2 linked regions of the Caenorhabditis elegans genome follow. The protein of the gene in region 1 interacts with the protein of each later gene in a pairwise test. Each region holds a gene or a part of one and is shown on either strand. Other genes may lie near its edges.

Region 1 (7,844 bases):
AAAATTACCAACTTTCAGATTTCGGAAGGATTTTATTAAAAAAATTGGCAACATTTTTGATTTTCAATGAAATTTTTTTAAGGTGGAGTGCGCCCAGTGGGAAAATTGCTTCACAATGGCCGAATATCATGATTAAAAAATTCAAAAAAAATTTCTAAATTTTATATGATTTTTTGAAAATTGAAAAATCTCAGTTTTCCCCTAATTTCTATTTGAATTACCGCCAATTGGGTTCGTTCGATGGAGCGCGCTTGCACTATTTATTTTATTTTTCTCATTATTTCACTGATTTTCTTCATTATTTGTGTATTTTTATCGGAAAAAGAGAGAAAAATGCAAGGTAAATGCTTATAAGATTTATTAAAAAGTAACTGAAAATGAGTAAAACTGTGGAATATGCTATTTTCAGGATTTTTGGCGTCGAAACACAGTTTTACCCATTTTCAGTAATTTTTTAATGACCAATTTGCATTTTTCTCTATTTTTCCGATTAAAAACCCCCAAAAAACGAATAAAATCAGTGAAATAATGAGAAAAATAAAATAAATAAATAAAAATAATGCAAGTGCGCTCCATCGAACAATTTCAATTGGCGGTAATTCAAATAGGAATTAGGCAAAAACTGAGATTTTTCAATTTTCAAAAAAAAATCATATAAAATCTAGAAAATTTTTTGAATTTTTTTATCGTGATATTCGGTCATTGTGACCCTATGGGCATGTTTTAAAGCAATTTCCCCACTAGGCTTACTGAGTAGAAAAATCCCGGAAGTGCAATTTTTGAATTTTTTGTGAGAAACTCCTCCACAATTCGTCATTGAAAATGAAAAAACTCGACTAAATATTTTTTCCATGACAGGCGGTCTGCTCCGGGTTCGACGTCCTTTTCGAACTGATAACGTCACAATTTTTTTCTTTTTTTTTCCGCATTTTTTCATTCCGATTGCTATTTAATCGGGTGATGTCGGGGTCACTCTTCAATGTCCGTTGACTACATTGTTTTAATTTATTTTTAATTGACTCCAAATTTTCCCCTGATTTCGAATATCTATGTGAAAAAATTCAAAAAAATTTCCCTGATTTTATATTTAAGCTTGAAATCGCTTGTACTAGCATCACTTTTTTTCAAATTCGCGCCCAAAGAAATTCGCATTGGAGCGCGCTTTGATTTTCTTCATTTAAATATTTTATTTATTTTTCGCCGAATGCAGTTTTTTGAAAACCAGTTTCATTCATTTTTGTCGAGCTTTTATCGATTTTTTTCGACAAAAATGAATAAAACTGGTTTAAACTGAATTCGGCGGAAAATAAATAAAATATTTAAATGAAGAAAATCAAAGCGCGCTCCAATGCGAATTTGTTTGGGCGCGAATTTTAAAAAAAGTGATGCGGGGGACAAATGAAATTCTACGATTTCAAGCTAAAATATAATATCAGGGAATTTTTTTTGAATTTTTTCACATAGATATTCGGAATTAGGGGAAAATTTGGAGTAATATAAAAAATATTTCACAGATTTCGGTACTCAACCTTTAAAATTTTAAGTGAGAAAATATTATTAACGTGATTTTAAATTTTTTTTTCTTCTGCAACAATTTGAACTTTGATCTTAAATTAAAAAAAAAAATTATTTTTAAAATTTCAGTTCAAAAATGAGCGGATTAGCACCAGATGGACTGCCCAAAGGAAATCGAGTTTGGGCTGATGGATGGTTGGTTTTTGGCTGGAATCGACACGTGGTGTCAAAGTGTCTCTTTTCGGTTTGATCTACAAAAAATGTGGGATTTTTTTTCCAAAAAAATGTGACGTCAGCACGTTCTTAACCAATTTTTGTTGAAAAGTCTGCGTCTCTTTTCCCGCATTTTTTGTAGATCTCTACGTAGATCACGCCGAAATGAGACACTTTGACACCATGTGAATTGAGCCTTAAAATGAATTAATTTTCCAGTTATGACATGGTGCATTTCGGCCATGCAAATCAATTACGGCAGGCTAAGCAGTTTGGACAGAAGTTAATTGTTGGAGTACATAATGATGAAGAGGTTTTCAATATTTTTTTCTCCCTAAAAAGAAGATGGGAATATGCAAATTTTTGTTAAAATATTAGCAGTTTTTAAGTCGTAACTCGTAAATTGCGAAATTTTTCCCTATAACACACTTGATCTACGCTGATCTACAAAAAATGCGGCAGAGTTCTTAACTCATTTCGTATGGTTAAGAACGTGCTGACGTCACATTTTAATGGGAGAAAAATTCCCGCATTTTTTGTAGATCAAACCGTAATGGGACAGGGACCCCTGGCACCACGTGGCTATAAATTATTTTAAAAATCAACTTCTGTGAATTATTTAAATTAATTTTCACTTTAAATTACGATAGTTCAGGTAAAAAATATTGTTTAAATAATTCAATTATTCAATTTTCCTTATTAAAAGCCACGAATTAAAAAGAAATTTCGTGACTTGACAAAAATTTTAAAGGAACACGCGTGTGTGACCCTTTAAGGAGTACTGTACTTTTAGCTATTTTGCAGTTTTTTTTCATTTTTTTCGAGATCGCGTCGAGACCCGAAATAGTTGGCATCTGGTAAATATTCTGATTGAATGGATATTTTCGTTATAATTTGGGGTTGCATGGAAAAAAAAAGAATATTTTACAATATTTTTCACTAAATATATCGTAAGTTAGGGTATATTGTGGTAATCATTAAAAATTTTTAAATTTCAGATCGAAATTTAGCAAAAAAAAAACATTTTTAGTGACTAAAAAAACATATTCGTTTCTAATTTCCAATTGAAATAGAAAAAAAAACGTTAAGTAATATTTTTTTTTATTGCAATTTTTTCCGACCTTTAAAGGTGGAGTACCGAAATCTGGGAAATATTTTTAATTGACCCCAAATTTTCCCCTAATTCCGAATATCGATGTGAAAAAAATTAAAATTCAAAAAAAATTCCCACGATTTTATATTTAAGCTTGAAATCGCCGAATTTCATTTGTTTTTCCCGAATCACTTTTTTCAAATGCGCGCCCAAAGAAATTCGCATTGGAGCGCGCTTTGATTTTCTTAATTTAAATAAATATTTTATTTATTTTTCGCCGAATTCAGTTTTTTAAAACCAGTTTCATTAATTTTTGTCGAAAAAACCGATAAAAACTCGACAAAAATGAATAAAACTGGTTTTTAATAAAACTGAATTCGGCGAAAAATAAATGAAATATTTAAATGAAGAAAATCAAAGCGCGCTCCAATGCGAAGTTCTTTGGGCGCGAATTTAAAAAGTGATTCGGGGGCACAAATGAAATTCGGCGATTTCAAGCTTAAATATAAAATCACGGAATTTTTTTTTTGAATTTTTGGAATTTTTTCACATCGATATTCGGAATCAGGGGAAAATTTGTAGTTTAACTCAAAAAAAAAATTCCAGATTCGACTACATAAAGGACCTCCAGTATTCAATGAACAAGAGCGATATCGAATGGTTGCCGGCATTAAATGGGTCGATGAAGTTGTGGAAAATGCGCCATACGCCACAACAGTCGAAACTCTGGACAAGTATGATTGTGATTTTTGTGTTCACGGAGGTAAAAATATTAATTAAAGTCCAATCACGGTTTGATCTACAAAAAAATCCGGGAATTTTTCGCCCAAAAGCAATGTGACGTCAGCACACGCTCTTAACCATGCGAAATCAGTTGAAAACTCTGCCGCATTTTTTGTAGATCAACCAGAAGATCAAGCCGAAATGAGACACTCTGACAGCACCACGTGTAAAAAAAGTAGATCAATTTTCCAGACGACATAACTCTAACCGCCGACGGAAAAGACACGTATCAAGAGGTGAAGGATCACCAACGATACAGAGAATGTAAGCGAACGTGTGGTGTCTCTACAACTGATTTAGTTGGCCGAATGCTTCTGCTCACCAAGAACCATCACACACAGGATGAGCACATCGAGCAACACGTCGAACGAGCTCGTTCGCTGAGCACGGTAAGTCGGAATTATTGGAAGACTTGTGCCACTGGCTGGGGGGAAATTGCTTTAAAACATGGTTTAAAAAATTCGAAAAAAAATTTTCTAAATTTATTGGATTTTTTGAAAATTGGAAAAATCTCAGTTTTCACATGATTTCTATTTATTTGAATTTCCGCCAAAATTATGTGTTCGATGGAGCGCGCTTGCATTGTTTTTACTAATATATTTCATTTTTTCTCAGTATTTCACTGATTTTCTTGTATTTTCATCGGAAAAAAAAGAGAAAAATGAAAGATGAATGCAAGTTGTTCATTAAAAAAAAGTTATTGAAAATGGGTTTTACCACAGTGTTTCCCATTTTCAATAATTTTTTAATAAACAATTTGCATTTATCTTTCATTTTTTTCTCACTTTTTCCGATAAAAATACAAGAAAATCAGTGAAATAATGAGAAAAAATGAAATAAATTAATAAAAATAATGCAAGTGCGCTCCATCGAACACATCATTTCGGCGGAAATTCAAATAGGAATTAGGGGGAAAACTGAGATTTTTTCAATTTTCAAATTTTTTTGAATTTTTTAAAATCATGTTTTAAAGCAATTTCCCAACTGGCGCTACTACGATTTTCAATTAATTTTTAAAAATTTTTAAAATTTTAGGCTATTCTGGAGTACAGCAAGGTAAGCGTAGCCGGCTGCTTGTCGTTTTTTCCAGTTTTGCAAAGCTTAATTTTTCAGCGTATGCAGTCTAAAAAACGGCGTCTGAATAGGCTTATAGCGGTAATGGACCAAATTTTGAATTTTAGTGGGCCGCACGGATTTCTGGCTTCCCTCATAAATTGAAATGGAAGAGTTTTTGCCGAACTAGGCCATGTGGATTTACGGCGCGTTGCGTGTCGCGTCGCGGTTCGATTTTAGTTGTAAAACTAAATGTATTTGTCCGTGTGGAGTACACCACTTTCCCAAGGCGATTGTCAATGGAGCGCGAAAAATTCAATGAGGAAGCCCGGAACCCTATGGGGCTTAAAATATTATTTTTTTTTCAGAACAAGCTTAGAATCTACTTTTTCTATTACGTGTTTATCCAGAGATGAGAAAAATGGCCATATCTGCCGCGCAAATGAATCTGCGGGAAGAGACAAAACTACTGTAGTTTTTAACCAATTTGTGTAGATTTACGAGCTATTGCGTCATCGTTGAATTTAATTTTGAGCCGCAATTTTTAATTTTCAGGCGTTTTTCTAAATTTTTTTGTGTGTTTTCTTTTAAGATTTTTCAATAAATAGATAAATTTCAATATAAAAACGTGTGAAACGCCTGAAAATTAAAAATTGCGGCTCAAAATTAAATTCAACGATGACGCAATAGCTCATAAATCTACACAAATTGGTTGAAAACTACAGTAGTTTTGTCTCTTCCCGCGGGTTCATTTGCGCGTCAGATATGGCGATTTTTCTCATCTCTGGATAAACACGTAATAAGTACAATTTAGTGTAAATTTTCTAAATTTCTTTTCAGGACAACGTTGCAATGTCCCCCTGGACACGTGTCTCGCGCTTCATCCCAACAACGACAACGATTCTCGAGTTTGCCGAAGGAAGACCGCCAAAACCGACGGACAAGGTTGTCTACGTGACCGGATCGTTTGATTTGTTCCATATTGGACATCTGGCGTTCCTGGAAAAAGCCAAAGAGTTTGGAGATTACCTGATTGTGGGAATTTTATCGGATCAGGTAGAGCGTTTTTGTTTAGAAAATTTCTGGGAAATAATTTTAATTGACTCCCCAATTTTCCCCTGATTCCGGAAAAAATTCAAAAAAAATCCCTGATTCAATCCCTTTAAGCTTGAAATTGCCGAATTTCATTTGTGCGCGCTAAAAAAATTCGCATTGGAGCGCGCTTGCATCGTTTGATTTTTTTTTTCGCCGAATTCAATTTTTTAAAACCAGTTTCATTCATTTTTGTCTAAATTTTATCTGTTTTTTTCGACAAAAATTAATGAAGCTGGTTTTAGAAAACTGAATTCGGCGAAAATAAATAAAAATTTAAATGAAGAAAATCAAACGATGCAAGCGTGCTCCAATGCGAATTTGTTCTTTTTTTGAAACAAAAAGTTTGATTTTAAAATTTAAATAAAAAAATGTGATCTACCCAAATTTTAAAAGTTTCTTTTTGTGATTTCCATGAGAAAAGGCGTTAAAAATATCAATTTTTCGTGAAAAGGGTTAATTGATGTGCCATCCTCTCAAAAACTTCACAAAAATTCAAATTCTTCAATTTTTTATTTTTTATCTCAGCCATCAAATTTGCGATGGAGCGCATTTGCAAGGTGCTTTTTTTTATTTAAAAATTTCTATGCCGAAAAATGAAGTTAAAATAGCGATTAACCCGTTTTCACCTCAAAAATGCATTTGTGATCTACCACACCTGGCGGTAATTTCGTAAATTTCTCTGTAAATTTCTTTTAAAAGTGGAGTAGCGAAATATGTGGAAATATTTTTAATTTACTCCAAATTTTCCCCTGATTCCGGAAAAAATTCGAAAAAAATTTCCCTGATTTTATATTTAAGCTTGAAATCGGCGAATTTCATTTGTGCCCCCGCATCACTTTTTTGAAATTCGCGCCCAAAAAATTCGCATTGGAGCGCACTTGCATCGTTTGATTTTCGCCGAATTCAATTTTTTAAACCTGCTTCAATAATTTTTGTCGAAAAAACCGATAAAAAATCGACAAAAATTAATGAAACTGGTTAAAAAACTTGAATTCGGCGAAAATAAATGAAGAAAATGAAAAAAAAAAACGGTACAAGCGCGCTCCAATGCGAGTTTCTTTGGGCGCGCATTCAAAAAAGTGATGCGGGGGCACAAATGAAATTTGGCGATTTCAAGCTTAAATATAAAATCAGGGGAAATTTTTTTGATTAGATATTCGGAATCAGGGGAAAATTTGGAGTCGATTAAAAATATTTCCCAACTTTCGGCATTTTTACATTAAAAAAATGAGAAATCTACCACAATCGAATAAAACTATCAATTTCACAGACTGTCAATCAATACAAGGGAAGCAATCACCCCATAATGTCGATTCACGAGCGTGTACTATCCGTTCTGGCCTATAAGGTTTGTAGTTTGAACTTTTCGAAATAAATTGAAAAAATTGAAAATTAAAAAATTTTTTTCAGCCAGTGAATGAAGTTGTGTTCGGTGCTCCATATGAGATTACTTCTGACATTTTGGATCAGTTTAATGTTCAGGTAAATGCTGTAAATGTTCGAGAAATTTGAATTTGAATTTAAATAAACAAAAAATTCAAATTCAAATTCATGTTTTAATAAATAAATTAATTCTCCATACATGATAATCCAATTTTTTCATCCAAAATTAATGTAGAAATGAAGAAAAAAGCTTGTTCTATCTGAAAATTATATTTATTTCTGTTGAAAAGCTTGAAACAGGCCTTTGAGGCGTTTTTGAAGCATTTCCACAGAAATAAATAGTATTTTCAGATAGAACAAGCCTTTTTCTACTTGCCTACATTAATTTTGGATGAAAAATTGGATTATCATGTAGGAAATAAGACGTTTTGTGCGTTTACAGTCCGTGTTGAAAAGTTATCAAACGCGCGCGCGCGAGAGAGTGTGCGAAACGAGGAGAGTCGCACGCAATAGATAGAGGCACGCGAAACCCGCGAGGTGTCGGCCGGCGCGTAAAAGTACCCAACAGTGCCGACCAGCGCTCCTCAAGCCTCCTGGCGCTGCTATTAGCCGGGATTCATAGGCTGGCGATGATTGAGATTGTTCCCACACGCAATTTCTCCTGATCCACATGAAGGCTAAACTTCCTTGGACGTCTGAGCCGCCTTTA
Region 2 (4,668 bases), on another chromosome or scaffold:
TTAAAGCATTTTACTAAAAGATAACTTATAACATGTATTTCTATCACATTTTTAGTTGCAAATTTATGTTTAATAAGTACACCTTGTTGGTTGTTATTAATTTTTACCAAGGATTTAAATTAATCAAAGATATGTAACCCCCGAGTTAGTCAAAGATATGTGCGTAAACATTTTGGAATTCTCAGAAATCTCATGATGAAATTTGGCCGTTTCAATCTGTGCTCTTTGAGTAGCTTCAAGCCATAACCTCAGTTTTTTTTCTTCAACTTGAGATTATTTATACATTTTTGAACTGAATATAGTGAAAAAATTAACAAACCACCATCTGCTCGCGAATTCTGGCGTTTTTTCTTGCTTCAATAATTTCGGCAATTACTACAGCAAAAAAAATTCCAAAAGCATCCGAAGGAGAGAGGAGACCACCATCCGCGACCATTGATTGGCTAGAGTCAGTCGAATCGGCCATCTAAAAGAAATAAGTTTGGAAATGGAATAAATTTGAGAGAAATAGTTCATACCGATGCCACAGCTGATGGTGATGCTGCCTGGCTTTGCTGATCCGTCTGAGGAGAGGGAATACCTGCATTGGCGACCATTGATTGGCTAGAGTCAGTCGAATCGGCCACCTAAAAGAAATAAGTTTGGAAAAATAAGTACTTTCACTCAATAATTTGATCATTCAAATGATTGCCCATCTTGGCAATCCTTCTTAAAATGACAGTTATAAATAAAATAGTTTAAAAAAAAAATAGAAACAAACAAAAGTCACCCAGTTAAACCATAAAAAGACATTTTGCTCGTTTTTTTCCACCGGTGGTTAAGAGAGAAACTAAATTAGGCGCCGATTATTTCATAATGATAGTAGATCAAATATTATCAATGTAGGTCTAGTTGAGAATTGTGCGAGAAAACGTTGAAAACACTGAAATCTATGATTGTATGATGTTCCCTGGCCATCTCGAATTTCTAATTGTTTTCAAATCAATGATCTTCCTGTATCATGAACATTTTTTCAAAGCATATTTCGCAGGATATTATTGAGAGAAGATGTATGTATCATTATTCATTATTCGAAAATTATGTCGGTGTTCACGAATTCCACTTTTCACATCATTATCAGGTAGACTTTTTCACTTTTCACTTGAATTTTAGTCAACTACAAGTTTTGACTATTTATTTCAACTCACCTTTAGACTATTAAAGGTGGAGTAGCGGCAGTGGTTAAAAACCACTCCTCTGGTCCCAAAATATTCAAATATCGTGATAAAACGTTTGAAAATTATATTTGAAATTTAATTTAAATTATTTATATTAAAACATTGTAAGGGTCGAAACATGCGAAATTTTTTTAAATTTCCTCAAAAGCTCGTATTTCTCAAAATTTTGGCAGTCTGCCGAAACTTTGACCGGAAATTAAGAAAAATTTGTTTTTTGTAGTGTTTTATTATGATATTCGGTTGTTTTGGATCATTATAAGTGCATTTAGACAAAATCCCCACTGGCGCTACTCCACCTTTAAAAAGAAACAAATGCCATTTGGAAGATTGCAAATTGTAAAAATGCTTGCAAACAATTTAGCGGCACAGGAACCCTTTGAATTAGAAAACTACCTTCTTTGTTTAAATTTTTGCCCCTCTTGCAGTCAGATACTGTTTCCTCGTGTTCATAGATCGAATCTGAAAAACTCGGTACTTAGTGTCGATTCGGCACTTCGGCACTTTGCAAACACATTTTGCTGAAAAACTGGATTTTTTGTACGAAAACGCGGTTTAACGCTTGCTCGAATACACTGAAATGTGACCATTTAGCAGATTGAAAACAAAACTGTTCTAAAAATGTTCGAAAATGTTTTACCGAAGTTTAGAAAAATAAGAGCTGAGTTTACCTAATAACGCAGCACCGTTGTTACACTTTTATGAGAGCGTGAGCAATTGAATTTTATATATTGAAACTCATTGTAACACTTTTTGCACAACCCTATTTTTTGGTAATTATTGATTGAGATGAGCTCATTTGCTGTTGTCTCGTGGGATGACCTCTTCAGTGCAATATCTTGTCTTCCCCATTACACAGTACTACCACCGTCTATTCTTCATTTGTCTCTTACGTTCTTTCGGATCGATTCATCCAATTTTTCTCCCACTGGAATAAAATTATATGCATTATTTGATCCTAGTGGCACCTTCATTTGTTCCCCTTTAATTTTATTTTCAGAAATTTTTTGGTGATGCCATTTCATTTTCCACTTTTCCCACATCTTGTCCAAAAACAAATCTGCCAGGAGTTTTGCGATCTTGACGCTCTAATATTCATGTTTGCTTCTGAAAAGTCAAAAATCATAGCTACAAAATCCAAAAATGATGCCTTATCCATCTTGCAAATATGCTTCAGAACTTCCGAAGATCATGATCACTGGTTTGAATTGACAAATCACAATTCCAATTTTATGGGACGAATTTATTTGAAGAAGGCCAAATCTGAGGAAGATTTGCTGAAGCGTGGGCGTCCTTTCACAGTGGAAGTGGATGAGTTGAAGATTCCGTTTTGGTGGGTTTTCTTTCTTTTAAAACAATTGTAAAAGTCGTATACTTACATATAACAGCCGGCAGAAGCGTTTGGCTTAGGCTTAGGCTTAGGCTTATGTTTATGTGTGGGCTTGGCGTCAGTGGTAAGCGTCAGCTCGCTACTGACGCTATTTAGGCTTAGGATTTTCCGGTTTTTTTGATTTTTGAGGGGGTTCCAGTCGGCTGATCAACGCGAATTTTTCTCGTATTCCGTTTTGGTGAGTTTTTAATTTTAAAAGCATTGCAAGACGTTGTAACTTCCAGAACTTTTTTCAGTGTTTCACCAGTCACCAATACATTTGACAACAAGAAAAAAGTTTTCCTTACCTTTCTCGGACCAGTGAAACAATTTCACGAAGCAATTCATCTTTGCATAACTTCCTTATATCGACCCACACCATACAACAAGTATGAACTCACTACAAATGTGGACGATCTCACTTGTACTCCTGACATTAAGAATATGAAAGAGAGCTATTTAGCGACTATAAAATCTGAAAGCCTCAATGCAAGCACCATTGACAACTTTTTATCTAAAAAAACAAGCATTGAAAAGCTTACATTAGGAATGAAAGTTCTCGATAATTTTCAAGAGGATTCAGCTATATTTCGAATGAAATACTTTTGGTTCACTTATTCCCTAGAGCATGCTCCAATTGTGCTCTCCAAGTTTCAAGGAACTCATTTATGGATGACCGATGCCAATATAAAAAATGAAGATATCATTTCATTTTTGAACACTTGGCAAAACTCGGAGTGCGATCGGAAAATATTTGAAATAAAGGTTTCTGAGGGGATGAATCCTTTGAATCCGGATATTGTGTATGAAGATATTGACGTCAGCGATTGGGATCCTGCAGAGAGACCGAAAGAGTTTAATTTTGTGTCGACGTGAGTTTCAGCCTTATTGCTTCAAAATCCTTTCAGGTTGATGCATCATGTCCTCACTTAACTTGGCAAGCTAATATCTGTGTTTATGTTTAAGTTGTCACTAAGTTGCCAACTACAAAATTGTTAAGAATTAAACGACCAATATTTGGTTAGTTGAACATTTTCTGATAGAGCTGAAGTCAGCTGAGATACGTGCTCACGGAGTTGAGCAAGACATGGTGCATCGACCTAGATTCTCTCACTTGCAGCTAGCTCCGGCAGTTTTTATGAGCGGCTGGGGCTGAGTTTTGAGCAAGACAAGGTGCATCAATTTATTTTTTTTTTTAAAGATATTTATGAATTTTAATTACTGATTTATTGCCAAATTTTTTGACAATCCCAAAGCCTGCCAAAATGCAAGTTGTCAAAGTTTAAGTTTTTTTATTTCAGATTTTTCCCAGAAAACTTCAACAAAGTCTATGATTGTTCCACGTGGATGGATATTAAAAGATCTGGCGACGGAAAAATAGCATCAATCTGTATCACTTCTAATGCATTCAAATTTCTTGTCTGGGATTGAATTTGTTTTCAGAATTTTCTCATTGCTTTCTGGAACCCTTAATTTTTATTTTGTACATGTAATGAAAAATAATTGAGTTTATATAAGAATGAAGCCTGTAAATTAAATTTTTCATTTTTTGAGCAAAAAGTGTTGTAAATTTCACGCTTATATAAATACGAGTAGGCATAAGGCAGGCAAGCAGGCAGATCTAGGAAACCTAAAAGGCAATAAGGCAAGTCTTGGCAGCCTAGTAGGTAGGCAGACCTCAGCAGGCAGGCACATTCAGCCTAGAAGGCAAGTATGAATGCCTAGGCAAACTAGTAGGTAGACACCTCTGGAGCGCCTAGAAGACAGACTGGATAACCTGAGAAGCCTAAAAAGCAAGAATGCAAACTTAGGTAGCTTAATAGGCAGGCAAGGCAGGCATAGACAGTCAAGTAGGCAGGCAGCCATCTTCGTACCTACGCAAGTTTCTTGATTTTTTCTATACATTTTCCAGCACTTGTTTGCTATTTACAAGCTCCATATTTCCCAGCAGCTGAAGCTGACTGAACTGAAAATAATTACTCGAGGAAAAATTTAATTTCAGAGTGGGGGAAAAGCTCGAAAAAAAAACAGAAGAAGTTGTCAACAAACCTCCTTTTCCATTTTATTCCCCCCGTCATACACACT

What was found.
Region 2: the proteins of pcyt-2.1 (region 1) and K12H6.7 interact in a two-hybrid assay, tested with the Caenorhabditis elegans proteins (one large-scale study listed by BioGRID).

The regions. Positions count from the first base shown.
Region 1 is NC_003279.8:2,077,317-2,085,160, forward strand, and holds the start of pcyt-2.1 (ethanolamine-phosphate cytidylyltransferase), read left to right. Parts: upstream 1-1,642; 5' UTR 1,643-1,651; coding exon 1,652-1,710; intron 1,711-1,947; coding exon 1,948-2,041; intron 2,042-3,427; coding exon 3,428-3,584; intron 3,585-3,796; coding exon 3,797-3,993; intron 3,994-4,639; coding exon 4,640-4,660; intron 4,661-4,717; coding exon 4,718-4,759; intron 4,760-5,497; coding exon 5,498-5,713; intron 5,714-7,022; coding exon 7,023-7,100; intron 7,101-7,162; coding exon 7,163-7,234; intron 7,235-7,489; exon of another isoform or gene 7,490-7,711; intron 7,712-7,720; exon of another isoform or gene 7,721-7,839; intron 7,840-7,844.
Region 2 is NC_003280.10:2,834,397-2,839,064, reverse strand, and holds K12H6.7 (FBA_2 domain-containing protein), read left to right. Parts: upstream 1-2,111; 5' UTR 2,112-2,446; coding exon 2,447-2,547; intron 2,548-2,840; coding exon 2,841-3,455; intron 3,456-3,884; coding exon 3,885-4,014; 3' UTR 4,015-4,132; downstream 4,133-4,668.